4 linked regions of the Lepisosteus oculatus genome follow. The protein of the gene in region 2 purifies or fractionates together with the protein of the main gene of each other region. This does not show direct contact. Links are inferred from orthologs where the notes say so. Each region holds a gene or a part of one and is shown on either strand. Other genes may lie near its edges. The genes, in order: npm3, ncl, mybbp1a and rpl8.

The links.
Region 1: the proteins of ncl (region 2) and npm3 fractionate together in Homo sapiens (co-fractionation; 4 studies listed by BioGRID and IntAct, with this or other methods). This does not show direct contact. The link is inferred for Lepisosteus oculatus from reciprocal best matches to the Homo sapiens genes NCL and NPM3.
Region 3: the proteins of ncl (region 2) and mybbp1a purify together in Homo sapiens (affinity purification with mass spectrometry; 3 studies listed by BioGRID and IntAct, with this or other methods). This does not show direct contact. The link is inferred for Lepisosteus oculatus from reciprocal best matches to the Homo sapiens genes NCL and MYBBP1A.
Region 4: the proteins of ncl (region 2) and rpl8 purify together in Homo sapiens (affinity purification with mass spectrometry; 3 studies listed by BioGRID and IntAct, with this or other methods). This does not show direct contact. The link is inferred for Lepisosteus oculatus from reciprocal best matches to the Homo sapiens genes NCL and RPL8.

The regions. Positions count from the first base shown.
Region 1 is NC_090699.1:45,170,108-45,177,673, reverse strand, and holds the start of npm3 (nucleoplasmin-3), read right to left. Parts: upstream 3,019-7,566; 5' UTR 2,882-3,018; coding exon 2,803-2,881; intron 1,988-2,802; coding exon 1,902-1,987; intron 1,233-1,901; coding exon 1,113-1,232; intron 1-1,112. Other genes in the region: oga (protein O-GlcNAcase), read right to left, coding at 7,055-7,191. UniProt on the Homo sapiens protein: Plays a role in the regulation of diverse cellular processes such as ribosome biogenesis, chromatin remodeling or protein chaperoning. Modulates the histone chaperone function and the RNA-binding activity of nucleolar phosphoprotein B23/NPM.
Region 2 is NC_090708.1:8,866,453-8,874,282, reverse strand, and holds the start of ncl (nucleolin), read right to left. Parts: upstream 3,017-7,830; 5' UTR 2,869-3,016; coding exon 2,851-2,868; intron 1,773-2,850; coding exon 1,668-1,772; intron 1,394-1,667; coding exon 1,285-1,393; intron 709-1,284; coding exon 595-708; intron 229-594; coding exon 103-228; intron 1-102. UniProt on the Homo sapiens protein: Nucleolin is the major nucleolar protein of growing eukaryotic cells. It is found associated with intranucleolar chromatin and pre-ribosomal particles. It induces chromatin decondensation by binding to histone H1.
Region 3 is NC_090721.1:11,357,271-11,364,275, forward strand, and holds the start of mybbp1a (myb-binding protein 1A-like protein), read right to left. Parts: upstream 3,005-7,005; 5' UTR 2,920-3,004; coding exon 2,728-2,919; intron 1,531-2,727; coding exon 1,435-1,530; intron 755-1,434; coding exon 671-754; intron 254-670; coding exon 179-253; intron 44-178; coding exon 1-43. UniProt on the Homo sapiens protein: May activate or repress transcription via interactions with sequence specific DNA-binding proteins. Repression may be mediated at least in part by histone deacetylase activity (HDAC activity).
Region 4 is NC_090710.1:4,226,545-4,233,920, forward strand, and holds the start of rpl8 (large ribosomal subunit protein uL2), read right to left. Parts: upstream 3,015-7,376; 5' UTR 2,928-3,014; intron 1,644-2,927; 5' UTR 1,638-1,643; coding exon 1,500-1,637; intron 476-1,499; coding exon 334-475; intron 236-333; coding exon 17-235; intron 1-16. UniProt on the Homo sapiens protein: Component of the large ribosomal subunit. The ribosome is a large ribonucleoprotein complex responsible for the synthesis of proteins in the cell.

The sequences.
Region 1 (7,566 bases), on a different chromosome or scaffold from region 2:
ATCTTGCATTAAATTCTCATGTATGTACATTTTCACTAGAAATACCAATGATATAATTGATCACCATTCATTTCAATGATATTACAAACAAACCTACCAAGAAAAACAAAAAAAAAAACATACAAGATAAATAGGTGAGCTTGATAATATTGCTGTGATCTACCGGAGTCTTACTTTTCCATAATTACTTTCATATTTCTATTAACTTGGGGGAAGAACTGTTCTGATACCTGTGGTTACTACTGCTATTCTCCATCGAGATTTAAGTTATACTAATTTGTCCCATGGTCCCGCTACCTTGTCTATAGTTGACTTCCATTTTTCAGTAAAATTACTCATCTGCAATCTCAATAAAAAGGTAATCCTTTCCATCAGATAAATCTATTTTATTACAACCACTGCCCATAGGTTGGAGGGTTCTTTTTAAGGCAATTTAGTGTGACTGCCTTTTTTGCAGCTTCTAGTACAATCTGTAGCAAGTAAGCCTGCTTTGTTGTATGAATAACCTCTGGTTTCACCCCTAGTATTGACATTACAGTGTCTTTTGGCAAATCTATGTCTATAATGTTATTTATAGCATGATAAACCAATTGCCAGTAAATTTCTAATTTAGGGCAATGCCAGAAGACATGCAAATATGTAGCTATACTCTCCCCGCATTCCCTCCAACAATGGCTAGTGGCACTAAGATTAATTCTAGCCATAATGTTTGGAGTTCTGAAGTATCTGCTTAGTAACTAGCAGGGCAATTCTAAATCAGCCATCTAAATGCAAAAAATAACTGCAGTTTAGGAAAGGGTTAAGAAGTCCGTTACCCTTGTGAACTAGGTTTAGGACACAATTCCAGCCCCAGTGAAGGCCGTGAGTGATCGCCACAGCCCTTTTCTTACGTTCTTAACGGAGGGAACAAGTGCAACCTACAGGGGAGTGCGTTTAAACACGAAAATAGGAGATACGTCTTTACACAAAGGGTGGTGGGAGCGTGGTACTTGTTGTTGAAGCCAATACCCTAGTTTCTAACCAGATCCTGGGACCAATTAACTACTAACTACCAAACAGGCCTGATTGGCCAAATGGCCCCCTCTGATTTGTGACCTGTCTCATGTTCTCACCATGGGCAGGCAAGAGAGGTGCAAGTTGGCCACGGGCACCGACACCCTCTTGCCATGGTGGTTCAGGGCCGTCACTTCCACTACATTGCTCTCCTCCTTGGCTCCATCGCCCAGGCACACCTGCGGAAAGAGAGACCTGAGCCTGAGGGCAGCAGGGAGGGGGGCGGGGGGCCCAGCTGGCCTTGATCCACAATGAAAAGGTCAAACATCTCTTTGCCAGACCCGTCACTGAGAATCACAACGAAGGTTCACTTCTTTCTAGTGATAATCACTTCAATCTAAACAGCATGATGGAGACCCTCTTGCATCAATGCAGTAACCCCTGAAGGAAACCACTGGCCTTTTGAGTCCTATATAAAAGATAGCAATGGATAACTTTGCATTAGAGAACACTAAAGGAAATAACTCAGTTGCATTCACTGATGTGACTCTTTTCCTTTGTGTGGGAGCGTACTGGTGCACCATGGCTGCTGTCGCATCATCTAGGTGGTGCTGGACATTGGTGGTGGTAGACGGGAGTCCCCATTACCTGTGAAGTGCTTTGAGGCGAGTGTCCAGAAAAGTGCTACATAAGTATAAGGAATTATTATCTTCTCCAAAAAACTCTCCTTGCCATTTTCCCTACGAATAAAACCAACCCGGCCTTCTGCAATTAGAGCACTTTGTCAATTAACATTTTGAGAGATAAATCCTTTTTAATGTCCTTTTTGGTGCTCACTGACTGTCATGGGAGGAAGGTGTTCTCAGAAACTTTTAAGACATTGAAGGGCCGGGAGGAAAACCACTTACTGTGCGCAACTCCAGGAACTGCTCCAGATCCTCCTCTTCATCACCCTGGAATGTGTAAAAAGGGGCTTTGGACGACAGTTCACAACCTGGAGATGCAATAATGTTGTTACTGTCCACCAAAGATGAATGCAATAATGTTGTTACTGTCCACCAAAGATGATTCTTTTTCAAAGAGCTTTACTGGTTTCTCCTGCAACTAGGGAACACTTGGATACAAATGGAAAAGAACATTTAAACAGAGTACAGGTGGCATTTTACGCGGCGAGACGCATCAGCCTGAAACTAATCGACCAAGAGTTTCCTGGAGATATTCAGGGAATCTCACAGTCACGAGGGGTCGATCGTCTAGTACTGTTTGAACCCTTTATTTTCTTAAATACGCAGGAATAATAACACCAAAGATGAGTACAAACATAACAACGTCAGATTACGAGTCATGTATATATACAAAAATCAAAACGCTCTGAAAGGCAAATCAAGCAAAGCAAACTAAAGTCAAGGAGCTGCTCAGCCCGACTGCACCACATGGAGAGGCGAACAAACATGTGGCTCTCGACTCAAGTCTTATGTGCAGTGTGCGCGTTTTCACGGCACAAAAACAGAACAGAGTTTTTAATCTCGCTTGGAAACGGTATCTTTGATTAACATTTTTTCCCCCCGATGATGCTATATTCGTAAGAAGTAATTACCACTGACAACGCTACGGAGGGCAGAATCGTTATCACAAGAGAAACAATGAGCAAGAGAAAAAACATAATTTTGGAATAGCTAATGAATCCATTGACTAGTATTGAACTGAGCTGTACTCCAGTGGTATCTTGGGTTAATAGGCACATCGCCCCACGTGTGCCAAATTCGCTGGCGCACTGAGCACGTTTTTTTTTTTACCAACAACACTCACTGAAGAAGAAACTCTCCATCCGAGCTCGACCTCCGGCGCTGCTACAGCTCTCCGAGCACTCCTCGTCCACAAACGACATTTCTAAGCGGAACGGCTTCCAATCAGATAAATATATACAAAACTGTCTCCGAGTTCAGCCACATCTACCGTTGGACGCCGACACCAAACACAGTGTCGCAGAACAGTGTATGTCATCAACATGCGGAAAGCGAGGACGAGGAGTGTCACAAAATTAACTTTCCCGCATGCTACACACGTCTTACATAAGGTGCCTGCTGGAGCGCTGGTACTCTTTCTTAAAGGTTCCAGCAATCGGAATTTGCAAGTTTTTTTTTACCATGATTAAGAGCAGGGCTAAATCTGTTTAATTCTTACCATCAACACAGTAACTGTGTTTTCCCCCTAAAGACAATCACGACGACGTACGTTTGCATGCTATTCTTGTACACGAACTGTAAAAGACTTGCACAACACTTGAGCTCAGAAACGTCTGCACAGACATCGACTAATGCTTCCAGAATACGTTGTGCGTGTCCTTCCAACAACTGAAAAAAAGCGTTTTTTGTTTCATCGTCAACCGACAAAAACCGGTCATTTTCACACTGAAAAAGGTTAATTGAAAATGTAGGTTCGTCGCAGTGCCCTGAAGCTCTGTGTACCACCAGCAGGCACGGAACAGATCCACGGTCGCTTTTGTTGAACAAGTTGAAAATTGAATCCCGTATTATCACTGCCTTGATGCTCTTGTCCATTTCAGAAAGGAGAGCTAATGGCGTGCGACTGGCACAGGGTCGAGTTTACATGGACAGGTTTGTAGTGAGCGTTCATTTCCCACACTTGCTAGTAATGGTAACTAGTGGGGTTCGTGTGTGCTGACCGGCCCAGATATGGGAGTGGTAAGACACCCCATCTGCACTCCAAGGACATTATCTAGAGGTGCACCATGTTAGGCATTCATCCTCCTTGGAGTCTTGCTATATTAAGGAGAAGTTGCAGCTTCTTGGCAGCCCATCAGTTCTGACTAATACCAAGCAAAAGGCACATCTTCCTTACTCACAGCATAAAACAGGAAATATTTCCTTTGATTTAAGTCAAGACCTTGTGCCCCTTTGCTTTCTATTTAAGAAAGGAAAACTACAAACTCTTAGGTTGCAGGAGAAACTAGACATTTAAAAGTTGAATTAAAATGCAGAGTGTAAAGGGATTCACAGCTTAGTGCAAACATTAAACTATTTAAATTAATTTCAATCCAACTATGATAAGTAAATACAAATATTACATAAATCATATACACTCTTTAACAAACATGTTGACAGAGCAAATGATTTTACTCTAGAAGCCAAATTGTTCCTTTTTTTAAAAATGTAGTGCTACAGAATATACTTCCAATTTAGTTCTGGGAAATATGCCATAAAAAACCTGAAAAACACATCAGAATGAACATTATTCAGTACAGATATGATCAGTGAAAGAGTCTTCTAGTACTTACACCATGATAATTGTACAACAATCTACGACAATCCTGCTTCAACCTAACTGGCAACACTGAGGTAACAATCAGTAATAGGTAAGGTACTGCTCTGCCAAATCTTTAATAAGAATGAGTACTTTTTAAGCTCAGAAGAGGTATATGTAAGAAATGTTTTCATCTCGACAATGAGATAAACTATGACATTACAATAACTGTTGGGACACATTAGATCTTGTGTGGCAAACACTAAGCTAGGGGCTCACATTGTATATAACAGTTCATTTAGGAAAAAAATGCACATTTTTGATTGAATGGCCAAATTATATTCTGGTTGATCTAAATCATGTTAGTTGGACAATTGGATGGGTGAGATGTAGAGGTGGTTCAAATTAAATATTTTTATTGAAATTACATTAGGTGATCACATTAAGAATTAAAACATGGTTCACTAGTTTAACTTACGCTGTGTAAGATTACCCCTAAGAGCATATCGGCCGTACCCTTTAGGAGATCATCAGTGAAAAACGTGTTACTGAATTTTCTTTAGGTTTAGCAAATCAAGAACAAGGCCATGCCTCGTGATACAGTCTTCACTTAATGGTTTAATCAGGTAATGAAACACAAGTGAGCACTATAATAAAACTAGATTACAACCATGTAGTCAACATACATAAAAGAAACCCTGAAATGTATAATTGTTTTTTTTTACATAAAAAGAAAAGTAATGTAATTTCAGTACATAATTCCGGGAAGAAAGCAGAAATAATTGCATTTTCTTCAATTCAACTCAGAAAAATATGCCTTTCTTAAGCTTTCAAGGTGGGTATAAAATTGAAGTCATCCCAATCCACAATGATATGGAGAAAATCAGTGACATCCTTATAGCAGGAATAATCCCTCCTCAAATACATTGTCTGAATTCACTGCACTAGATTTCAAATGGTGGAAAAAGTATACGGATTACAATTTCTAAGATAATTCTGCAACATTTAATTTTCCTCAAATATGCAGGAAGAACAAATCCCTCTCAAGACAATAGCTCTGCTCTGTTTCTGTAAGTGCTCTTCTGGACTTATCAACCTTATATCATGAAAAGTTACATAAAGAGCTCACTTAATTCCTAAAAGTAGCATTCACCAAATACGGTCTTAACTAATACCTTAAATCACTACACTTTTGTGTAAAAGACAAGCATATACTTGCAACAGGGATAGTCTCCGTGAACACCCCTCTGCAAGTAAGCAGTAATGCATGAAGTTGCATCAGCGTACATCAGGCACAAAAGCATGCTATATTACGACAGTTCGTGCCACCAAAATATTTAAAAGCCTTAGTAGGCTATGAGTATGAGTGTGTTAACTGGCAGTTAAGTTTGATATAAAAAAATATAATCCTTTGCTTTCTCTTGTGGATATTGATTTTAATTATAGCCATCATGTACTGGGGCACAAGGATGAAGTTGAAATAAATTACTCTACAGAGAAGTCACAGACGTCAGCTTCAGCCACGGTATCTTTAGATCTTCTCAAGTCTTTACAAAGCCCCAGGCCCAACTGGAGGGACAGGTCATTTACTTAAAATAAAAATATAACATTCTGTACAACTTAGAAGCAAGGAACCACATTTCACACTTCATCTGTATTATTTATTAGATGTAAAGGATTTGCACATTGTATTTGTAATTTAGTACATAACAATGAAACCTTCTTCTGAAGGTTCTCTGCAGCAAGTGTCCATCAAAAATACATACTATGTACATTCATATACACATACAAATTCCAAATAATAACATGATGTAAGATAGAAAAACAGCCTAAGTCATTCTAGAATAGCAGAACAGATGTTTAGTGATTGATTCAATCTTATGCATTTTTAATGTAAACCCTATCACTTACTGAGCACAACCAAAACTCACCTCACAATAGTATAAATCGTTTACATTCCATAAGCAGTACATGCTTTTCTCTTTAACAAGTCACTACTGATTCTGAGGATGGACCACACTTCAAGGCATCAGGAAGTGAAAGCACCAGAACATTTTGCTGTCTTACCCATGTTCTCCTGCAGCTGCTGCTGCTCAGTTTCTTGTGCTTAAGGGCTACATATGTATTCACAAAGATGCGCAACACTCATGGAACTGAAGAAAGGTACCAGCGACCATAAATTTTTCACTTCTTTGTGTAGCCACATTGCTCAGCTCACAGTGTTCAAACTGAGAATTACCAAGCCAGGCAAGATCAGTCATGTGCACAACTACACAGAAGGCTCCCAGGTGTATCATCTCAAGGTCTTCTGCTAGCACTAGAGGCCTTTAACTCGTGTGCCCCTCCACATAAAATACTAAGAGAAAATAACATTAAAATGTTATAGAGCAATTTCAGGAAGGTTAGACAAGATGACACTTCCAAAGCCAGCTGCTGCAGATGAAAAGGAGATGAGTACTCAGAAAGGCCTAAACCCTTCACACAGTCAAGCTTACATGTTTAAATTACAACAGTGGAGACAGTGGTAGCACCTTGCTTTCAAATCAAAGCACAGATGTCCCTAATTGGCACTGCAGGAAAGCCCAAATAAAGGAGGAGTTTCAATTTAACAAATGCATTTTGTAATTAAGGGCAGATTTTAAAAACACTAACTTGCACCTATTGATAGTAGTGGTACTATATATGTACACCTTTTTATGCCTTTTGTGGTTTTTGTGGCAAACATGTAGGCCTATTCACAATGAAGCTTTGTACAGTTTTCATTGCAATATTCATTTACTTCACATTCAGCTGGGGTTCACAGGCTCCTTCCCATAATAATCACATCTTTTGGGAATCCCTCCATTTTTGCAACTTCAAAGCAGCCCAATTTGCTGTAGAAGTCCAACATTCTTTTATCGTTTTGCCTCACTTCACAAAAGGCACCATGGGACCCTGTGAAGAGAAAAGGCATTTCAGTCAGCACCAAAAAATTATGCTGTTAAAATTTCAGCGCAGATTTCTGAGCCATCATTAACCCTATAATTGCTATGTAATTAATGCAGAATTGACTTTTCAGTTTCAAAAATTTACGTTTTTTCAGTCTCATTTAAACTCCCTGAACTTCATCTGTAATTTTATAATTACAAGACCAAGAAAATAGTTTGCAATATCTGTCTTACTCCAAACCTTGTTTATGTGATAAGTAGGAGTGACTTAGGTGCGACCACCCTGACAGATGAAAGACACTTGATAGACATTCCTAAAATTTCAGCCTACACAAATCAAAGCTTTTAACCAAAGCCAGTACAATATAACATTTTTACTAAA
Region 2 (7,830 bases):
GAGGGAAGAGGCCATTTTTCCCTACACACTCAAGTGCCTTGGAAACTCAAGACCACCCCAGGCTATTAAACCCCCTCCCTGAATCACTGCACCGTCACTCACCATCTTCATCATCGTCCTCCTCCTCCTCGGACTCCTGCTTCTTGGCGGGGGCGGCCTTTTTGGCAGGGGTGGCTTTTGCTGGGGTGGCCTTCTTGGGTGGGGGGGCTTCTTCCTCCGACTCGTCATCTGCGACAACAGAACAGGTTAGGAGTCTCCCGGGCTTCGGACCGGCCCGAGCAGGTTTAAGATCAGGGCCCCGGCAGGGATGTCAGCGAGCCCCAAGTCAAGGTCTGAAGAGGGGTGGAGGCCTAGCCAGCAACCAGCCCAAAAAGGCCCTTCCTGGGGACAAATGCCACCTGGACAACATTTATATTGCTCATCTCTACCGAAGGGTCCAACAGCAGTGCTCCATCCAGGATCTAAAACCATGAACCCAGAGATCTAACTTCCTCTCCCCAGCTCCTTGCCAAACACTGGCGAGCCACCCTTGCCCTCTTAAGACTATTGCTGGGATGTTATTGACAGCTAGAAAGTCACCGTGACTGATCATACCATCGTCATCCTCCTCCTCCGATTCCTGTTTCTTAGCTTTGGCGGCTTTTTTCAGGGGCGCCGCCTTGCCCTTGGCGGCCTTGCCCTTGGCGGGGACTGGGGGGGCATCTTCCTCTGAAGAGCATCACATTACGCAAGAGTTAATCCAGCATACTGTACTCAGGACCAAATACAGGGGAATATCACAGCTGAAATTCCCCCGTTCAGAAAAAAAAAACATTTTGAACTAAAAGGGAATACCTCCCCCCCAATGCAAACCTCAGAGCAGTGGGGTTCAAAATATATTGTCCTTCTGGCTCAACAAAGGCAAGTATATCAGCTTCCTAAGCCTCTACAAAGAAGGAACAACTGAGTGGAACCATCTTTATACTCCACACAACACTTCAAAATATTAACTACGCTTCGTATAATAGTGATAAGTGTATTGCTGGCATCTAAATGCTGATTTAAGATTTGGGCATTTCCAATTCCTTAATTAACACTCACTGCAGCTAGCATCTTGTAGGTTAAGAACTAAATCCTGCCAAACACTGGCTTTTGGTTATTTCCGACATGGTTGACACCATTTTTAGAAACCTGGTGGTTGACAACAAATGCAACAGCCTCTGTCCAGATCTTTGCACTTCCACTTCACCCTATAACATGCATGGAGTGAAAGATGAAGGCTCCCAGACGCGTTTCATCACTTACCATCGTCTTCATCACTTTCCTGCTTCTGTGCCACTTTGCCATTTTTGGCGGCTTTCGTTACTTTAGCTGGCGTGGCTGCCTTCTTGGCGCTGGCTTTTGGGGGAGGTACCTGAAGCCGAAAGGAAAAAAAAAAAACATGATTCCCCTTTCTGCACAAAGAAATGCCCTTTGTTAAACCGGTATTGGGTTTCCCAGTCGAACCCCGTTTTAGGACACGGGTCACTGTCCAAAGAGACCTTACACCTTCCAGCGAAACCACCAACTCCAAAACAAGAGGGCCCGAATCGCACAAGCACGTGTAGGACACGACCTCCGGTTTGGCTCCACGCTGACACAGCGCGACCCTCAGCCCACGTGTTGCGGCGAGTCTCTGTCGCTCTTACCTCTTCGTTTTCCTCTTCACTGCTGTCCTCTTCTTCATTGGAGTCCACGTCTTTAGGGGGCGGTGGGGCCTTTTTCTTAGGGGTAGTTGTCGGTTTTTTCGCTGCCTAAAATAAGAAAAAAAAACCCACTTCATATGAAGCATGACTACCCAGCGGGGTATCCGCTGTTTATTCATAGGCCGCAAAAAAACTGTTTATCGCCTTGGGGTGTCAAAAAATATTGTAACCGTTTGTACATCGAAATAATTGTGTACTTGTATACGGAAAATGGTCGGGTCACCGGAAAAAAAAAACTACGCTTGTGTAGTACAAACCACCGCCGCCATGTCCCCTCCACAGCGTGCTCCCTCTCTAAGACACTATTTTGCTAGCATGTTTAGAATCTAAATTTCTCAAAATAGTTAAAAATAAAAAAGGTAATGTTCAGCACACAGCCTGCAATGTCCAACTACTAATGTCTAAACCGCTCGACGGACACACGTCGTGGTGACTGCGTGATGGCTCCACGCTGAAAACCCACGTGGTGCTCCGCGAGGCCTAGTCATATGTAACTATATCCAGCTAATACAAACCCGAAATAAACATAAATGGAAAAACTACATATAGCACGATCACGGTTCTAATCATTACCAGAAATAAAGCAATTAAGAAACAGTCGTCTGTTTCTTTCCCCACATCATAATATAAAAGCGCAACCAAATTGGAAAGTTCCTTTTTTTACCAAAATTGCAAAGCGCTCACGCTGCTAGGAGTTATATTTTACATTTAAGAGGAGTTACTGCTTCAAACAAGACCCAAATGTAATCAAGTAAGGCGATAAACCAAAAAAACAGCTTCCGCGCTCGCAGGCGAATGCGCAGGCATGGCCATTTTGAGAAACAAGAGTTCACCACGCAGAAAAACATGGCTGATTACTCGAAATCTGGGTCGGCTTGAACAGGCACCAAAACGCACTTCCATTGTGCTCCGTCTTTCATCCGGAAACTAATAACCCCCTACGTTACCCCCAAAACACGACTGCACCCGCATAATCATAAAAAAAAACATTCATCCGCTGCAAAAAAATGCTCGGGCAAGGCAAACCGAAAGGAACAAAATCTCACATCTCCAGTGCCATTTTGTACATCAAACCCATCGCCTCGAACTTTATATTTTGAAATCGGCGATGAAAATCACATCTTACCTTCGCCAGTTTCACCATCTTGACTGTCTGCGGGGTTGTTTACTCGACTAAGATCGATCGGGAAAACGAAAAAGCTAATGCAAGTTTTAATCACTGCTCCACACGTGGCCTAACCCTGCTCTTCGGTGAGGCGCTGAGACGAGAAAGACGGACTCGCAGGAAGAAGCGCGAGGTGCTTTACTGTTGTGCGCGTTCCACCTTCCACGCCCACGTGTTATTTCTTGGCCAATCGGGTCGCAGGAATTTGCATCGCGCTCGGCTTCTGGGGTTTTCGTGAACGCGCTTGTCCGAGCCCTGAAGAGACGAGAGTGGATTTAGTTAGTACTGCACAGTATTCGTAATATGTATTTTTAGTGTGAAATTTGTATAGGTGTATACTCGTGTCTGGATTGATATAATTTGTTTGTTTTTTTTAAATAAAGAAACATATTTTTAAGCTTCAATTTCATCGAACCATTTGGCATTTAGTTGAAACTATGAATGAGAAAAAAACTTCCAATTTAAATACGATAAAACCTGTTAAAATATTAACTTTTTTTGTGTACTGGACTTCTCGGTGGATTGTACCGGTATCTCGAGTTCCGTTCACAGCCCATTAAACCTAAAGTGCCGGCCACCCATGTGACTTTAAAGTGCACATGAGCTCTAACAAGTTTTTAGTGATACTTCAAAAACACAAAGTAAAAACGCAAAGTGTAACATACATAGGAACGGCTATTCTTTTCAGTAAATACATAATATCCACCCGCAAGCAAATCCCATTTACAGACACCCAATGGGAGTGAAACAGTGGCGTCCCATGTGCTTCTAGTGTTTGGCCACCACGTGTTTCAAAATACACCCATTTTAAATCGATCACGGACAGAGGGTAGCATGGCTGCACAAAACAGGGAGCCTTGAGCTTCAGAAGTACAGTACGGCTTGTAAAGTTTTCTTTTCCCGAAGGTATTGTATTAGTGAAATGTTCTAAAGTGATTGAAATGTTTTGATTTTGTGAAATGTCTGGTATTGGAAAACAACGAGTTTTAATGCGGGGTAATGGAAGAAGGAGGGCGAAAAATTAAAATACAGTGGTTACAATTTAATGCACATGAATTATATAGTTTCACGATATTACTATTCAGTTGTTTTTCTTCCAGGAAAAAAAAAACTCATTCAACACGAGGAGGGGATGCTCACCGAGATTCAGGGCATTCTCCTTGTTATTTTTATATCTACCTTAAGGTCTAACGTCAAAAAATAATGACGATAAATATAAGACAGTCTTATAGAATACAGTTTAGCCTTGTAATGTAGAATCGAATTAACGTGCACGGTGATCTGCTAAATAAAACAATACCCACTTTTATATACACAAATGAATCAATGCATGAAATACAAGAAGAATATATATGAGCAGAGAGTTTTGAGTCATGGATAGCTACAGATCGATCGGGTAATTTATGTGGTCTTGGTAACACGAAAATCTGAATTTTGAGGGGAAAAAAAAGTTTCTCACAGTCCTACATTAAATCACCAAGTCAAAATAACTGGACCTCCATCATCTGTCATTGTGACCACGTCTTTTTGTGTGTAAAAATGACTGCAACAGGGCAGAAATTGCTGGCGGTAATGATCGCTGTGGATTTGAGAGTTCTGGTTTCAAATCCTTGGTTTACGCTGCTGTTACACCCCGAAGAAAGGCCCTTCGTTTAAATCGCTAATGGTTCTTGAATTACCAATGTACTTAAATTCAAACAATCGAAATGATAACCGGAACAGTAGGTCCACTTAATGGATTAGAACACGTGTAAGGTATACTTGGGAGAATAAAAGATAAGGTCGATAAAAAAATGTAGTAGAAATTAATACATTAAAAGTAAATAGTATCTAAAGGTGACGTTTGGACAGATGCATTTTGAAGATTTGGAAAAGTATTGACGTAAACAGAATATCAGCTTAGATACAAATTGAAATGCTCACGGTCCTCGATTTACATTTAGCTTAATTGTACCTGGGTAAGACCCACAAGAGGGATAGCACAAGCTACATAACGTTAGGCAGGCACTTTAGTGACGGTAATGTGTAAAACCAATGTCAAATGTTCAGACGTACAAAATGAACTTGTTTGCATTTACTGCTTTTGACTGAATATATAATGCATAATGTAAGGCCATCAGCGTTTTGGTCATGTTACCTACTGTAACTCTCTAAGCGAAATCATACCGCAGCAATATGGCTGCCCTGTTACCTTTCCGGGTGTGAAAACGTGTAATATAAGAAGGGATATCGAAACTCCCTACCAAAAGCCTTGACATGAAATATCGCGAGAGTTTGATATCTTCGTCATGACGTTCGCGGGACCTTGAAAGAGCGAGATTTGGTTGGACGATTTGAATGTGGCGAGGAAACGGTGTAGAGGTGTACAAACCTTGCGCTATTGGTAAACCTCCCCAGTCCTAAATGCCTGAATCGCTATCTGCGGGGGAGAAATAACCCAGCGGCTGTTATGTAGGAAGTGTTAGTCAGCAAGGATTTTTAGTTGTCACCTTCTCCTTCAAAGGAGAGTCACGCTGTGAATTCCTGGTTGAGAAGCCGCTTTCGCTTATTTTAAGGTTAAATAGTGTATCATTATTAAATCATGGCGTTTTGTTTATATTAATCCTGTACGAAGAATTTGGTGTTTGATTATGTCTAGGTGGTCTTCAGATTCCTCCAACGGTTGCGGTACTATGTTGGAGTAATGTATGTAATTCTGCTCAATGAGCTTGGTCTGATGTACTGGGCTCAACGGTTAGAAGCAAATTTAACATCTCTCAAGAGACCACCAGGTGGCGCTAATTGACGACTGTTTATTTTTTTAATAAAAAACTATTTTATATAGCGCCTTTAAAGATGACTTCTCAAACCGCTTTTCAGAACGACAACAACAATAAAAAGTACACAAGAAATGCACAATGAGAGGAGCCAGTAGATGGTGGATATTGAATACAGTAGGAGCAGAGGGGTAAAGAACAGAAACAGTTAAGTAAAGTAAAGGCACTTCTAAAGAAGAACGTTTTGAGTTTGGATTTGAAGGAGTTTAGAGAAGGTGACTCTCATATTCTTGGGGATAGAATTCTAGAGCTTGGGGTTAGAACAGGAGAAGGCCCTGTCACCCATAGAGTGTAGACGGGCTTGGGGGACAGTTAGGAGACCAGAATTAGAAGAGTGAAGGTTGCGAGGTGGGGAGTAGGGCGATAATAGCTCAGACAGGTACTGAGGTACCAAGCCATGCAGAGCCTTACAGGTGAGCATGAGTATTTTGATGTCGACTCGAAACTTGACAGGAAGCCAGTGCAAGGACTCCAGGATAGGAGTCATTGGACCTGGTCAATGTGGATTTAGAAACCCCAGCGAGTAGAGCATTACAGTAGTCAATTCAGGAGAAGACAAACGTGTTGATCAGCTTTTCAGCTACAGTAAGTGATAACATAGGATGTAGTCTGGTGATATTTTAGAGGAAAAAGAAGGATGTTTTGACAATATATTGCACATGTGGGTCAAATGTCAAGCCTGAATCACATATCACCCCCAAGATTTTCAATTTAGACTGAAGTTCAAGTAAGAACTTTTTGTGAAAGTACATTTAAACTAATCCATTCTGTTGGGATACAGTATATTTCCAGGCACTTTTTGTTTTTAAAGTGAAAATTGAGTTAATCGTGTATTTAGCTCTTTGCATCTAGATGCATGGACAGTTTCCATTAAAGCAGCACATTTAAACATCCACTGGACATATCAAACAAATACATCAGGTTGTACGTGGTGAGAGAGATAGATCCAACTTGCTCTGCGGTGAAATTATTTAATTGTTTTTATGAGCTTTTCATATCAACTAAACACAAAAACCTAAAAATTATTAGAGTTTAAAAAATCTAATAATAATTGCTTACACTTATATAGTTCTTTTCTGGGCACTCCACTCAAAGCACTTTACAGGTAATGGGGACTCCCCTCCACCACCACCAATGTGTAGTCCCCACCTGGATGATGCTGTCAGTGGGGAGGAGCCAATTCATAGAGGGGGATTATTGGTAAGGGCCAATGGGAAATTTGGCCAGGACATCAGGGTTACACCCCTACTCTTTTCGAGAAACGCCCTGGGATTTTTAATGACCACAGAGAGTCAGCACCTCAGTTTTACATCTCATCCAATGGACGGGGCCTGTTTACAGTATAGTGTCCCTGTCACTATACTGGGGCATTAGGACCCACGTGGACTGCAGGGTGAGCGCCCCCTGCTGGCCCCACTAACACCTCTTCCAGCAGCAACCTTAGTTTTTCCCAGGAGGTCTCACATCCAGGTACTGACCAGGCTCACACCTGCTGAGCTTCAGGGGGTTGCCAGTTTGAGTTGCAGGGTGGTATGGCTGCTGGCATCAGCTTATATACCCAAAACTTTGTTGTGGGGAAATTATCCAGACATTATGAAATGTTGTCTTGAAGATTACAAACTTTTTTATTTGTCTCAAAAAGGTTTGGAAAGATATCCTGTTTGTATTATTGTGATTTCTTCCAAGAACAATATGAGAGGTAGTGTTTCCGTTGCTGTTCTTTAGAGACTAATTGCACGTCTATTACAGCTTAATACCACAAGAGGGCAGCAGTGTTTCACAAGCTACACTAGTTTAGCGCCCCATGATCCTTACCTTCGCAGTATTTGTCGGGTTCTTCAAATAACTGTATTTCAATGTATAAGTTTCAGTTCAATCTAGTGTATTTGAGAAAATTATTGTCTCAAAGGGTGCATCCTGTTTGCAGCAGGATTTTTCTTAATAACGAAATTTATTCAAGTTTCCTGCTCTACATTTACATACAGTTATAAAGATGTCTTTTCTATGCTACATTCATATTTTTAATAACAAGTGTCCTTCCTAAAATGGTCTGAAAATTAAGATGAGACCCGAATTTCCAATGACCTCTGGTCTGGACATGAACTGATGTAACAAGTTAGGGTGA
Region 3 (7,005 bases), on a different chromosome or scaffold from region 2:
GGCTCTGCAGCAGCTTCACACACTCCAGGACCACTTTGGGCTCCTGTCAGCAACACACAGGCAGGCCTGAGACATTTGTGTATTAAACTGGGAAACTACCTCACTCCCCCATGAGCTCAATCTCTAGTGAGCTGAATACACAGCCCTCAACAACAGCGTTTTCCAAAACTTAAGTTACCTTAGGGAGGCGTCCCGACTGGGACAAAGCCAACACTCCGAAGAAATTCCCAAATGCAGCATTTCTTCTGAGTTTCTGAGGAATAATAAAAATCAGGTGAGGCCATCAGAGAAATAACCAAGGCAACAGAGCTGGATCTACCCGTTTCCCAAGTCTTAAAATCCAATAAAACGTCCTAATTTTCAGAAGCTGGCAGAAGGTTTACTAATTACTAAAACCCGTTCTGAGAACACGTAGCCATCTTCATCGCTTTCCACATTAAGACCGTCAGTATTTAATTAGACCTTTTCTTCAGTATTTAGTTGACATTTCTGTCCCAATACTTTAGAGTTTAATGTAATTTTTCCACAAACTTTCCAGACATCTCCATGGCTAGGAAGACCATCTACATCAGATCAGGAGACCATGGACAGGAGAGGACTCCATGGCAAGAATGTGGTACTTGGGAGCTCTAGGTATCCAGTCGGGAGTGTGGAAAGACTGTTTCCTGACCTTCTTCACTGTCTCCAGGTTGTTCTTTTCCTTAATATGGTCCAGTGTTGTCTGCAGTGGGATCTCCTCAAACACCTGCAGGACCTGCAATAAACACCATATGTTTATGTCTGGGTTACTATGAAAGAGTACAACACAATCATCACAGTGAACCCGGCTGTTGAAAAACACAAGTTGCATTTCAATGTAACTGTAATGCAAATGCATTTGAGTTCCATACAGCTCAGACACTCTCACAGCCTTCTGCTGCAGGACAAAAAAACATCTTCAGGGTGCAGAGAAAGAATTCAGGTGGCCGAGCATTCGGGCTGGAAATTCTCGAACTCTAAGTCATGTATAATTATCCTGTAACAAGCGTGATTATTTTCTAGTCTGTTTTACTTGTATTTGTAACGTAACCCATAGGATACCAGTGAAAATTAGGTCGAAGCATATTTAAAACAGAGAAAAAAGGAAACAGGTCTTTACTCTTAAGAGTTATGGAACAGGTTGCCCAGCCATGTGAAGGTGATCCTTTGGCATCCTTTAAGAAACAGCTGGATGGGATCCTTGGATCATACTCCTAGCAAATGGGGTAGAATAGCTTCCTCTCCTAAGTAATCATCCTTATGTTGTTCAGTGCTGGACAACTTCTTTAACTTGGCAGTAAGAAGCACTGCTCGTGTTACTTGTTTTTTACCTACTAACAGGTTCTAACACGATGTTTAAGCTGTGATTCTTCATTTCCTGACACACACTCAGAGACAGCTGTGGAGGACACTGACCTGGGCCAGAGCCAAGCTGAAGCCAGGCCGCGCAGTCTCTCTAGTGTGGGACAGCCCGTCCACCAGTCGCTTCAGGGTGTATTTCAGCTCATCCGGCTGGGAGGGAGAGCAAAAGAGGGAAGAGAAGATTAGCCCATCACACTCACACCCAGAGACCCTTTGTGGGGCACAGATCACCCAGATGTAAAAAACAAGTACCTAATTATTTCCGCATGGGAAGACCTACAGGGTCAAACTATAAAAAGGAAGAATAATGTGTTTTATTTGGTTGACACTTTTGTCCAAATGTAAAGAACTTGGCAATTTAATAGAGAAATCTGAGGGATGCACTATGCTAAATGGTACAACTGCTGTGTCCCACTAGGATCTGAACCACAAACACCTCCTCACCACTCCTCCACAATAGCAATGCTGCCTAAATAAAACACTACCACTGAAGTGTGCAGGAGTGGTCAGACCTCTAGACTTGTACCTGAATAATTGTGAGTTCACGCCCTGGGTGAGATAGTGCTCTTATACCATTAAGCAAAGTTCATTCAAGACCATTCCAAGCTGTATAAAACTGTACAAAGTTAATTTGACATCAAAGGCATCAAACTAAATCATTCCCCATCAGCTCTTTAACATTCCTGCAATGAAAATGCATAGCTAACCAACGTTACTCACTGGGTTAGGCGAGTCAATTATTTATTCATTGCAAATACAGTCCTCGACAAGCTTCTTAATAAAAGCTCGTTGTTTATCAAATAATAAGAATGCAAGAGGAATAAACAAAATTCCTAACCAAACACAGAAATAAAAACATGAATTGAAAAAAATATCGAAATGATAAAACTGCTGAAAACGTATGTTAAACCTTGCGTAACATTATTAAAAATGCACAAAAATAAAATGCACACAAAGCAAAGACATATCAAATGTCTCGCAGCATTGACAAGTAATCAAAAACAACAAAATAAAAATCACCTTTCTTTTAACAACTGAGATTCTGGGCAAACTTTTAAGAACACGCTGCTGATTCGCTTAGCATAACTACTACATTTTAAGGTCCTTATAGCAGGTCCTAAAAAGACGTTTTATCAAGAGCCAAAGGAAGCCCATGAGTGTCACCAAAACCCACGTGGTTAAACCAAGTCTGGAAAGTCTTGTGTATGCACAAAACTCCTGAAAAGTCTCGTTGAACATTTTGTTTTAAAATTAATTTGTATTTGCCCCCTAAATATATCCCTAATTCTATCAAAAACCCAGGAAACCTATTATAGCAATGTACGTAAATAATCATTACAGTCCTACCTTCTCGCTGTTTTTCAGATAGCAGATCAGATCTTCGATGGCTTTTAATCGTATTTCTTGCTCCGGTTTCACGATATCCCAAAAAAAATCAAGGAACTCTCGATTCTGCTGGAGGATTCCTTTGGCATCAGTCACTTTGGGCCGCACCGGCTCGGTTTCTATCTCCCCCATGCTAGCAACCGCTGCTGCCATGTAAATATCAATATCGGCAGCACTTCAGCAGAAAACGTGTTACAGCAACGATCGCATTGTAGCAGGAACCCACGTGTTCCGGTCAATCGGAAGATCGCTCAGCGTGCAGCAGGCTGGAAGGTTCGTGTTAAATTAATCCACAGAATAAGGGTTCCAGAATTTTAAGGTTTGGTACCTCGTACATTGTTTTTCCATTCATGAAAGATATAACATTTGCTTTTTATCAGTCACTGAGATTTTGGTATAGTTAGTGCAAAAGTGAAGTTCACATTTTCTACCGTGGAAAGGATCTTTTAAGTATGATATATGGGTATGATATATGTGAGTTGCCTTTCTAGAGAGCTGCTTATAATAGCTTTGGAATGTTACAGTTCCCAATGCCTAATTCTGTGGAGAATATAGGGTTCGTCATTAGGTTTGATTATTTTTATGTTTTAAATAATCCAGAGTCTTTACACTAGTGCTCACTCTACTTTCCCCACTATTTAGTTAATGAATTTAAATTTTTACAAGGCTAATTATGTTAAGAAAGCATTCGAGAAAGCTGACTTGCCATTCTGATCTGCTATTTTCAAAATATTTTACTACACTACACTCCCCACAGTACCATCCGTACACCCCTAGGTAAACCACAGCAATTCCAACGCAGGGAAACAAACTAATACTGCACAATGGGGAAAAAAAAAGACTGGGCAAACATTCACAGGTGGCATTTAATGTAGACAAGTGTAGGCAGCAAAACAAAAACTGTTAATATATAATAATAGGAAATACTGGGCTTCTCACAGTGGCTGATGACAGTGGTGGGCTTCTGGAACACCCTTCCTTGGTGGAAAAAGAAAGCTGAGCTCGATGGCTTTCTCTTATCTGTTGCCTTTCTGATGCTCTTATCTAAAATAATATTCCATGAACAAAAACACCTAGATGTAGCTTCATAATGAATTATCAGAGTTGTCTGGTTGACGTTAAATGCAACCAATGCCGATTTCTCTCTCCAAAATGCTTTTACAATACACAATTAATGGTTCAGCTCCGCAGAATTTCAAGTCCCTCACATTAATGGCTCAATCTCTTACTCTGATTTCTCTTTCCATTAAACGTCAGTCAGTGACTTGGGCTTCAGTCTTTTCCCTCATTAAAGCAGCAGGGCCAAACGTGTTACTGGGAAAGGTGTCATTATTTATCGCTTCAGTATGGATTCCTACCTTCGTTTTTATGGACCCTTTAATGTATTCTTTAATTCTGCTTCTCTCAAGGAGCATTGGAAGAGTTTTGCATCTTATAAGGGACTGGGAGCCTATTGGGAACTGTGGAGCTGTGAGTACAAGCACCTCTACTGCATGATGCCTTTGATAGTACAACAGGTTCAGACAAGATGGAGGCCCTTGTCTGGCTCACAGGTGCTGGAAGACAAATTGGTCAGATGACACTTTCAAAAACAGGAAGCTTGCTAGGTCAACCTTGCCTGCTTTCTGGAAAACATGGAGTTTGTGTGTGGAATGACCAGCTGTAGAAGGAGCATCTGACCAAAATGCTGAAACAGTGAGTAACTTTGAATGTGACTTTTATGAAGTGTCTCAGAGGGAGACTGAGCTTTAGTGAAGAGTTTAGCCGAAATGGTTTTGGAAACTGGTAAGGAGCTTAGTTGCCTGGTTTTGTTAGTGAGGGACTATTGAGGAGCTCAGGATTTTGTGAGATTTTCAGTGCTATAAATAAAGAGTGTTCGGTCTGTACCTTGCAGCTGTGCTTTGTGTCTCTTTTAGATACTGATATGGTTTTCCCAGCTGGTGATACACATATTTGCTTTATCACTTAAATGCTTTGTTGCAATATATATATATAGGATTTTAGATTCTTTCTTCAATGCCTTCTTTCATTTAAATTATAACAAAAAATCTCTCCAAGATCACAATCTAAACTGGCTTTGCCAAGTCTGCATTTTACTCTGTGACCTCCTGCCTGTGATCTGTTTTCCATTTATTCTCCTTTTGTTTTCTTTTTAACCTTTTGTACAACTCTGTTGGTTAACCTCGGGTCTTGTGTTCACTGTCTTCCTTCTTGGTCTGTCCATAAACATTTTTTCCCCCCAGGCTTCAGCTATAGCAGTGTTTTTTTTACCTGTTTTGAAATAGCACAACAGTTATAATACAGGACAGCCTTTGATACAGGGCACTTTTACCTCATTTAATACCATTCATTCACTTAGCTTCAGGTCATCTCATAGTTCAATTCTACCTCAGGATTATATAAATAGGTGTTAACATCTAGCAAAGCAAAGCAGTTGTATCATATTGACCTATCGTCTGCAAGCCATCCTTTACAGCAGGTGTGCCTGCTAGCTACTTGATTATCTTGTATAGGCTGTATAGTAACTTGATTACCTTGTATAGGCAACTTGTATAGGCTGTGTCACCATTTTAGGTGCTGGCATTCTCATGTGGCCATCTTTATGCATGCAAAGGAGTCTATAAAGTCTGTACTGTGCCTCAGGGATGACACCCCCTAGTGGCATTACAGTAGTACATTGTCTACAGGTATCTAAAGCTCTTTAAATTATATTTGCTTCTTCCACATTGTTTGCTATTTCTCCAAATTTAATGTAAAAGAGCAGTGTCCAAGTACATATCACTGTGTTAATCCACAAATAAACTTTCTTGACTGGTCTTCACCTTTTTAACAACTGTTCTGTTGTAGATCTTGTTTCCTTGAGTACAATACATGTATTATTCAGAAGCCATTGATGCAACTCTTCCAACAGTCACTTAAGACAGGAGTAGTACCCAGGGACTGGGAAACAATCATCATGATCTTATAAAAGATTAGCCTTGCCTAAACATCCTGAACATCCTTGAGTGGTTGAGTCAGAGACCCTGACCTAATCCAATTAAAAATCTGTGGAATGACTTAGAGGTTCAGTCCATCAGCAGTGTCCTCTCAGTTGGACTGAGCTGGAACAGTCCTGTAAGGAGGAATGGGCAGACGTTGGTACAGACCTATCCAGAACAGAATGATATGACTGTAACTCAAGCAAATGGTGCTGCCACCAAGTACTAACTCAGGGGCGTGTTCACTTATCCAACTCATTTTTCTAAATGGAATTACTTTTCCAAAGTAGAGTGTTTGGTTTTCAGATTGGTGATTTTTTGCTACGTGTAAATAAAGGTAAAATAAAATATGTCTTGATTTCAGTCTGTTAGAATTCTACAGTATATACAATTTGCCAAAATAAAGGAAACGCCAACATGAGCATCTTAACATGGCTCTGGGCCTCCATTAACCACCAGAGCAGCTTTAATGTTCCTTGGCATAGATTCTACAAGTGTCTGGGACATTCTTCCATGAGAAATTAGATCATTTGATGTTTTGTTGATGGTGGTGGGGAAAATGGTGTCTCAAGCTCCTCTCCATGAGATCTAGTGACTGGGATGGCCATGGCATACAGAGTGCAGCATTTTCATGCACATCAAACCCTTCAGTGACCACCCAAGCCCCAGGGATTGGAGCGTGGTCATCCTGGAAGTGTCCACTCCCATCAGGATAGAAATGCTTCAGCAGTGGACTGATCGATCAGGATGGCTTCCTTGCCCTCTAAGGGGTTAAGTGGACCTAAACTGTGCCCCCTTCACCGTGGGGAAACAAGTGCTTGAGCCTGTAGTCGGATTTTGGTGTGCCCAACATGTACTCATCCACTTGTTGAGATCAGGGTGAAGAAAAATTAATCTGCCCTTATGACTTTTTCCACTGCTCAGTAGACCACTGCCCATTTTCAATTTTAGGCACAATGTGGTTTTTGCACTGCATCCCAAACATTGCATCCTTTCTCTGTGAAGTTCGACAGACCATACAGTCTCACACCACTCGTTTATGACACCTTTACCTCAGACTCCCATGCCAACATCACCTCAACCACTGTTTCTCATGAAACATCAGCATGTTCAGCATTGAAGCCCCTGCTAAACATGCCCCAACAATCAGCCCCTCTCTCACAGTCACTGAGATCTCTTGTTCTAACCATTGTAGCCAAAATAATGGGTAGGTGGGCCTGTCACGATTCGCACTCGGGCATATAAGCACTCCTACATTCCC
Region 4 (7,376 bases), on a different chromosome or scaffold from region 2:
GTCGCGCTGGTCTTACCAACAATAGCTCTGTTGGCCGAGGAGATGACCTTCTTGGATCCGGAGGGAAGCTTCACTCGGGATTTCTTTGTTTCGGGGTTGTGGGAGATGACAGTGGCGTAGTTTCCAGAAGCACGGGCTAGCTTGCCACGGTCACCTGGCTTCTCTTCCAGGCAGCACACAATGGTACCCTCGGGCATGGTGCCCACTGGGAGCACATTCCCAATGTTGAGCTGAGCTGAGAACCGCAGGGAAAGGGCACGTTATTCGAAGCGAACGCTTTGCGGCTGCACCGTTTGAAATGGCGAAATGTGCCGCAGCCCCGCTGGACCTCACCCTTCTTCCCGCAGTAGATGAACTGGCCGGTGTGGATGCCCTCGGCTGCCACAAAGAGCTCCATCCTCTTCTTGAACCGGTAAGGGTCCCGGAAGACCACCTTGGCCAAGGGGGCCCCACGGCCGGGATCATGAATGATATCCTGGGAGAGAAAAGAGAACACACCACTCTGACGAGGCCGCCACCTGCAATCTTGAAGACCCTCCACTACCGAACCTGCATCTCGAGGGCACATGTGCCGACATTAGGCAGCCAACTAATGAAATGAACTGATTGCCTATTTTTTATGGAATCATAAAGCATAATTACTGAAGAACAATCCTTATTCACCCCCATAAGCATTCAGTAGAATACCTGAATACATCCTGACTGTCTTCTAAAAACCATGCAACTACAATACCCTTGCAGGATGCTGTAGGCCTCCAACGCTATTTGAAATGAATTCTGTTTGGCAAGCTGCGAGTCTGCTTGGAAAGAAAAACTTTCACCACTTCTGATATTAAACTTGGACTGCTGGAGTCCTGGAGAAAGTGACCAAGTCTAGCCACATTTGTCTCCCTTAGGACTTGACATTACTTAGAACGCCAATAAACAAACTGTACAAAACAATTTAGCACAACGCTACCTGAACTCTTATCACTAAAACCCCTGAATCCAATGAAATGTTTGAAAACAGGTGGAGGTTTTGTGTACAGGTGGATGCTGTACATTGGTGGTGGTGGAGTCCCCATTACCTGTAAAGCGCTTTGAGTGGATTGTCCAGAAAAGCGCTATATAAGTGTGAGCCATTATTATAATTATTATTATTAAAACCATGGATGGTTCCACAGTGGTAGTGTGACACTAGTCCACTGTGAAATCCATACCTCAGAAGTGAAGTGGGTCCACTGCTATATACATATATAAGGGACCCACTTCATAGATATATTTAAAAATAAAATTCCCATTGGCCCTTACCAGTCATGGCCTCCTAATAATCCCCATCTATGAATTGGCTTTATTACTCTGCTCTCCTCCCCACTGATAGCTGGTGTGTGGTGAGCGTTCTGGCGCACTATGGCTACCGTTGCATCATCCAGGTGGATGCTGCACATTGGTGGTATTATTAAAGTGGCTTGAGATTATCTGAAGCTAGAAAGTGTACAGTTCCTCCCCAAACTCCTCACCTTCACAATCCCCTTGATGTAGCCATGACGCTCAGCAAAGTCAATGGATCGGAGCTTTGCTGCACCCTTCCTGTGCTTGACGTGAGCTTTGAAGACCGACCCAGCACCCTTCCTCTGGCCTCTGATGACGCGACCCATTGTGCCCTGGACGCAGGAAGAAGAGCAACAGAACCGAATGACAAAGATGCCCAAGCTTGACCCGTTTTGCCTTCTAGTGGTTTTCCTTGGTGATCAGAACGGCGGCAGGCCCAGAACACCTGGGACTGTTACTGAGCAAAAAAACACCTTTTGTTTGGCATCGGGATCTATTAGAAAGATTAAAGGTCTACTGCACCTTGGCTGTAAAAGCTGACAGTAACACTGTATAAACAAAGTCACAAAACAATGCACAAGTGAGCAAGAGAGGGCATGATACTGATGCATTTCAAAACAGCCAGATCAGGCCAACATAAAGTCAAAATAAGGTGTTTATGGCAAAACATGAAGGTACAGATGGACCAATATGGACTGCAATCTCTTCTAGCAGTGCTGGTAGGACTGGCTACCATGGGCCCGAATTCAAGGAGGCCTTCCAATCCGCGGAGACCACAACATTCATTGAACAGAAAAACATTTGCCAGAAATAAAACTCCAGATTTGATGCGTCTGCAGGCCTGAGGGTTCAGGGCAGGAGATGATCAAGGAGGACAAGCAGAGGTACTGCATGTCAATATGAAATCGTTTAAACTGCATGGGGGCATGGGGGGTTAGGAGGGTCACTTTGAAAGAGTTTATATGATCCCCTATGAAATTCAAAATCTTTATTGCGAACTACGACTTCATAAGGCCACGGCATTTTTGCAGCTCGAGAAACGCACTTTCACTCAATTAAAAGTAGGAGAGCACATGAAACCGCTTGACGCCCATGCTGCAATCCTGAGTAATTAGTTTCATTACTAATTATACAATAATCACTGTTGAGCTCGGGACACGGCTACCGTGAATTTCCACAGAATATTCACGAGGCACTTGTTTCTCAATGACCACCCCACTTTTGTTGCGACTTGATTCACATTCTCCCAGTCACAGCATAACCCTAAAGATCCCGGCGTCTGAGATAAAGTGGACTCCTGTCACAAAAAATATTAAAGCTGCAGTGGTGTAAATACGGCCTCTTGTAATGCTTTAATGTAACAGTTAAAACCTATCCCAGACACGCGTCTATTTCCAGACATTTACAGGACAAGCAGACTGTTTCATCGGTTAGGGCCAATACTGAACACATCATACAAAAAAACGTTAAGATACAGCCTTAGGCACAACTTGCAGTCGTATACCAAATATACAGGTTTTATTAGTAGTATAAACGTAGAAAACTAGAGCGGATGAGTAAAAAATAAAGAGATTAAAGTCGGATTTAATGTGAAGAAAGAGGCCGCCATTCCCTACCTAGACCTGGGTTGTCGACGAAAAGGAAGTCCAAGGCCGGCGCAACGCATTTCTTCCGGGTATATTCGCTCCCGTGGAACAGGATATCATTAAAACGAGCCGAAAATAATTCAAATTAACACGAATCGCAGATATCTGTACTATATAAAATATTTTTAATCAAGAAGTATAAAATACTACAAAGCAAGTAACACGGATATTTTAAGTACTACCTATGCGTAGCATCATGGGATATGTAGTTCACACATCTGCAAGACTGCTGAACTGAGCCTTTCAGACACACACGTTTTAATTATGTTGCGGTAATACATCAACAAAACAATTTTTTAACTGTCGCAGAACATTTGCAGATACAGGATATTTGGAACATATTATGTAGGTCATTAGAAAATATCCGCTTTAAACCAATTAATCACTTTTGTATTCATATTCACATAAATATATTTTACTACTAACGTGAGCCTGCAAATGACAGAAATACGTCAATCGAATTTACATCGTGCGCTTTGTATTGTACTTTATTTAAAATGTTTTTTTCTAACAAATATCCTCGAATCTGAGTTATCATTCATTTATCTGACTAAAAACGTTAATCGGCAATAGCTATAATGTATCTGAATTGAAAGAGTTTTGCAATGTTTTATGAAGAATCGCAATAATGCCAGTTTTCTTCAGATCATATCGATAATGCTGATCATCTGGCTGAAACAGTGAAGAGCTTAGTTGTATGATTTAATTGATGAGTGCAACAAAAAAACAACAACACAGACTTAAAGATGTGATCAGTAATTATAGGAGTTGATTAAGTTTAGGTTAAAAACATTCAAAACAGTCGCCCTGTCCATAGCCTCACCAGGATTGGTCTGGCAGTTGATTAGTTAACCTGGCCAGTGTTAGTTTACATTCGGAACATAAGAAAATGACAAGTTTCTCATTTACGTAAATTAACATAAATACACTAGATAATTTTTCAGACCAAAGTGGATGTTAATCGATTTTGTATCCTGCCCTTATGGTTGTGCGTTATTTAAAAAGTTCTACCGGTTTTTTATACAAAATGAATTGTATATGCAAGGCTTTTGCACCTTAAGTGCTTCAAAATATGAAACACATCCAGGTGCTGCCGTTCTGTAGATTTTATAAACCATAGTTAAATGGCCAATAAGCAGAGATGTTGAGAGCAACTAATTAAACAACTGACTGATCCAATTAATTCGTTCCAAGCTCTTCCGAAAAAATACTAAGCATGGCTCTTCCGGACCAGAGCTGAAGAAAACTGCCCTAGTCTATTTTGATTAATGGAAAACAGAAAGGACTGAGCAAAATTTGCACTGCATTGTGTAATACTTCATCCAAGAAATGAGAGGAGGCAATTTGGCCAATCCAGCCTGTCTGGTACTTATTAGTTAATTGATCCAAGGATCTCATCCAGCTGTTTCTTGAAAGATGCTGGGTATTTATGTCAATTACATAAGATAAGATCACTTTATTGGCCATATACAATTGCTTGTATTAGGAATTTGTCCTTTTTCACATAACCCAACTTACTCTCCATGTGACACATACAGGGAGAGAAGCTTGGTGTCAGAGCATAGGGTCAGCAATTTATATGGCGCCCCTGGAGCAGTTGGGGTTAAGGGCCTTGTTCATGGGCCCAACGGAGTAGGATTCCTTTGCCGGCTGCAGGATACAAACCAGCAACCTTCCAGCCAAAGGAGAAGAGCCTTAGCCACAGAGCCACTGCATCATCTGAGTGAGAAACTTGTTCCATACTCCCACAACTCTTTGTGGAAAGAAACACTTTCTGTTCCCAGTTTTGAATTTAGTTTGAGTTACTAATGTATAACCAAACTGTACAGTATCTTCGAACCTGAGTTGTTTTGCCTTGAACAATTTATATTCTTTAAAAAAATCTCTCACAACAACAGTCATTGTAATACTAATGACAAAAAAGATGAATAATCAGTTTGCTGTACTTTTGTTTTATTTGGACCTGTCCACGACACAAGTGTCTCGTTCCCATCTTGAAGGGAAGCCAAGTAGCACCAGGACAAGCTTGGTCCTGCTGGGATGCGGTCATGTCAGGATGAGCCGGCAGAAACGGAGGTTTTGATCAATGCTGCCCTGTCTGTTAACGTGACCATTAATCACTACACGATTACAGTGGATGTTTTTTTTGGACAGTTTTGTTTTGCTTGTTGGGGATCCACGTCATTGTCTGGGGTCCATGTGCCCGTTCCATCTTTCTGTGTGGGGTTACACACCTGGCTGACCTTGGCAGGAGGAGAAATTAGGGTACTTAACCCCACACTCACGGGGCAGCCAATGAGTATTGTCTTAAACTTTGTGGTATAACCTTGATTGTGTTCTTACACGGCTGGGTTTGAAACTGCTGCTAAGGAGAGTGTAAATGAGGCAGCTTTCTAAGGGTTTGTCGGATTGCAAGAAATCCCAGCGCGGTTGAGTGTAGTTCTGACATAGGTTTATGACAAAAGTCGCTCCAGAGAGCTGAGAGAAGAGACACCATCATCCTTTCCTTCCTTCAGATCTAAAGCTCAGGCATTTCTAGGTGCCTTTTACACCCTAGACAGAGCTTGAAGGCTTCCTTTGTTACCATAAAAGTCATGTGAGGAACAGAGACGTATTTGGAAAGAATGTATATGGAACGTCCAGCAGGGAAAGTAGATAGGTGGTCTCCAGAAGTACTATCACACAACCCTCACAGACTTCTGTACTACTAGACCACATGACAGGCATCCTGCTTTTAAACATGTGTAAAGACCAGGGTTTGACAGGTCTGTATTGCAAATACAAGAGATTCATGACATTAACACACAGGCATTGCATGACAAAAACAAGAAGGGGAAACCAAAAATATTCAGGTATTATAAATATACTCTACACATTAGTTTCCTCTTCAGTTTCTCTCTCAACTGATTTCTACACATATAAAGCGTTGTAGTTCTGGATATTTTCACCTCATGTGAACTGCGTTCATTATCCTGAAATCTCTAGTCTACTACTGCTTGCTTGGATGAATCAACATTCAATAAACTCTTAAAAGGTCACGTAATTTAATTAACAATATAAATGAAGACGACTGAACTAGTGAATAACTACTCAGAGTGTGGTATCAGTGACCTTATCTGTGCCTGAATATCCTGCACCATTCTGTTCGTAACTGAATTATACACCTACAGAAGAGTTCCAGTGAGGTTACACATTTTAATAATGTATGCTCATTCATTTTTAAAAGCCTGCCAAGTCACAGAGAAACAGTTCTGAAATACCTTAACACAGCAGCTGTGAAGCCAGGTCTTGGTACAGGTTCTGTGCTAATTGCTTCCACATTTAATGTGCCACACATGCGTATGACTGACTCGAAGTCTACAGATAAGCTGGTCATGCAAATCATTGCTCAGGTCCCAAGGTTAGCCTTATCAGGCCTCTCCTGTGCAAGGTGTAGCAGAGTACTAAACTAGGCATCTGACTGTCAATTCAGTGTACAATACTTCAGTTACATCAGCTCCTCATGAACCCATTTGTTTCTATTGCAGATCATTTTCAACATTTTCCTGGGCATCCTAAGTAAACCACCCATGGCCCCATTTACTTTCAGTCTTTGTCCTTTTTAGCTCAGACTTTCCCAGTGTAGGGAAAAAAAAACAACAACTTTGCATGGTTATTGAGCTGCAGCATCTGGCACCAGGGTCAAAATCATGCACAGAACATGCAGTGTAAAGACTACAGTATAATTACTTCTCAACACGTCGTGGCAAGTCAATACTCAAGTCTTGTGAAGATTTATCTGACATCTGTATTGTAATATTTATAGCCTAACACGTTTAATGATTTGTCCAGGCTATTCAAACAGGAAGCTGAATGCTTCAGTTTATGTTAGGGTTAAAATTCTAGAAAAAACATGCATAAGCAAAGATGTATTTACACGCAATACAGAGGTTGCTAAAATATGTCGCGTGCATATATGTCCTGGGTTGGGAGGGTGAAGAGAGAGGCTCTTGTCCCAGCTGGCTGCAGTATGGCCTGTTGTGATGCACTGTTTTTGGACATGTCCATTGTAGCAGCTCCTCAACGACCGATTCTGTACCCAGCGTTCTTACAGCCCCAGGCTATAGGAATACAGCAATAGGAAAGGGCTGTAGGCTACGACAGCACTCAACATCTTTAGTCCTGGAGAGCCCCACGCCTGCAGATTTCACTCACCCTGGAACAATTTAACGCTAATCAACATTAAACAGAAGGTGTGTTCAATGAAGAAATGCGAGAGGTCGTTTGGAACGACAATCAGAATATCTTTCTGCCTTCACGAATCAGTGTTTCCTGCTTTGCAACACTACTTGCCGAATTGAGCAACTGCTTGAATGAGTTATTCCAAATCTTTAAATAACAGGTGATTAGGGTGACCAGTAAGAAAAATAAAGTGGATTG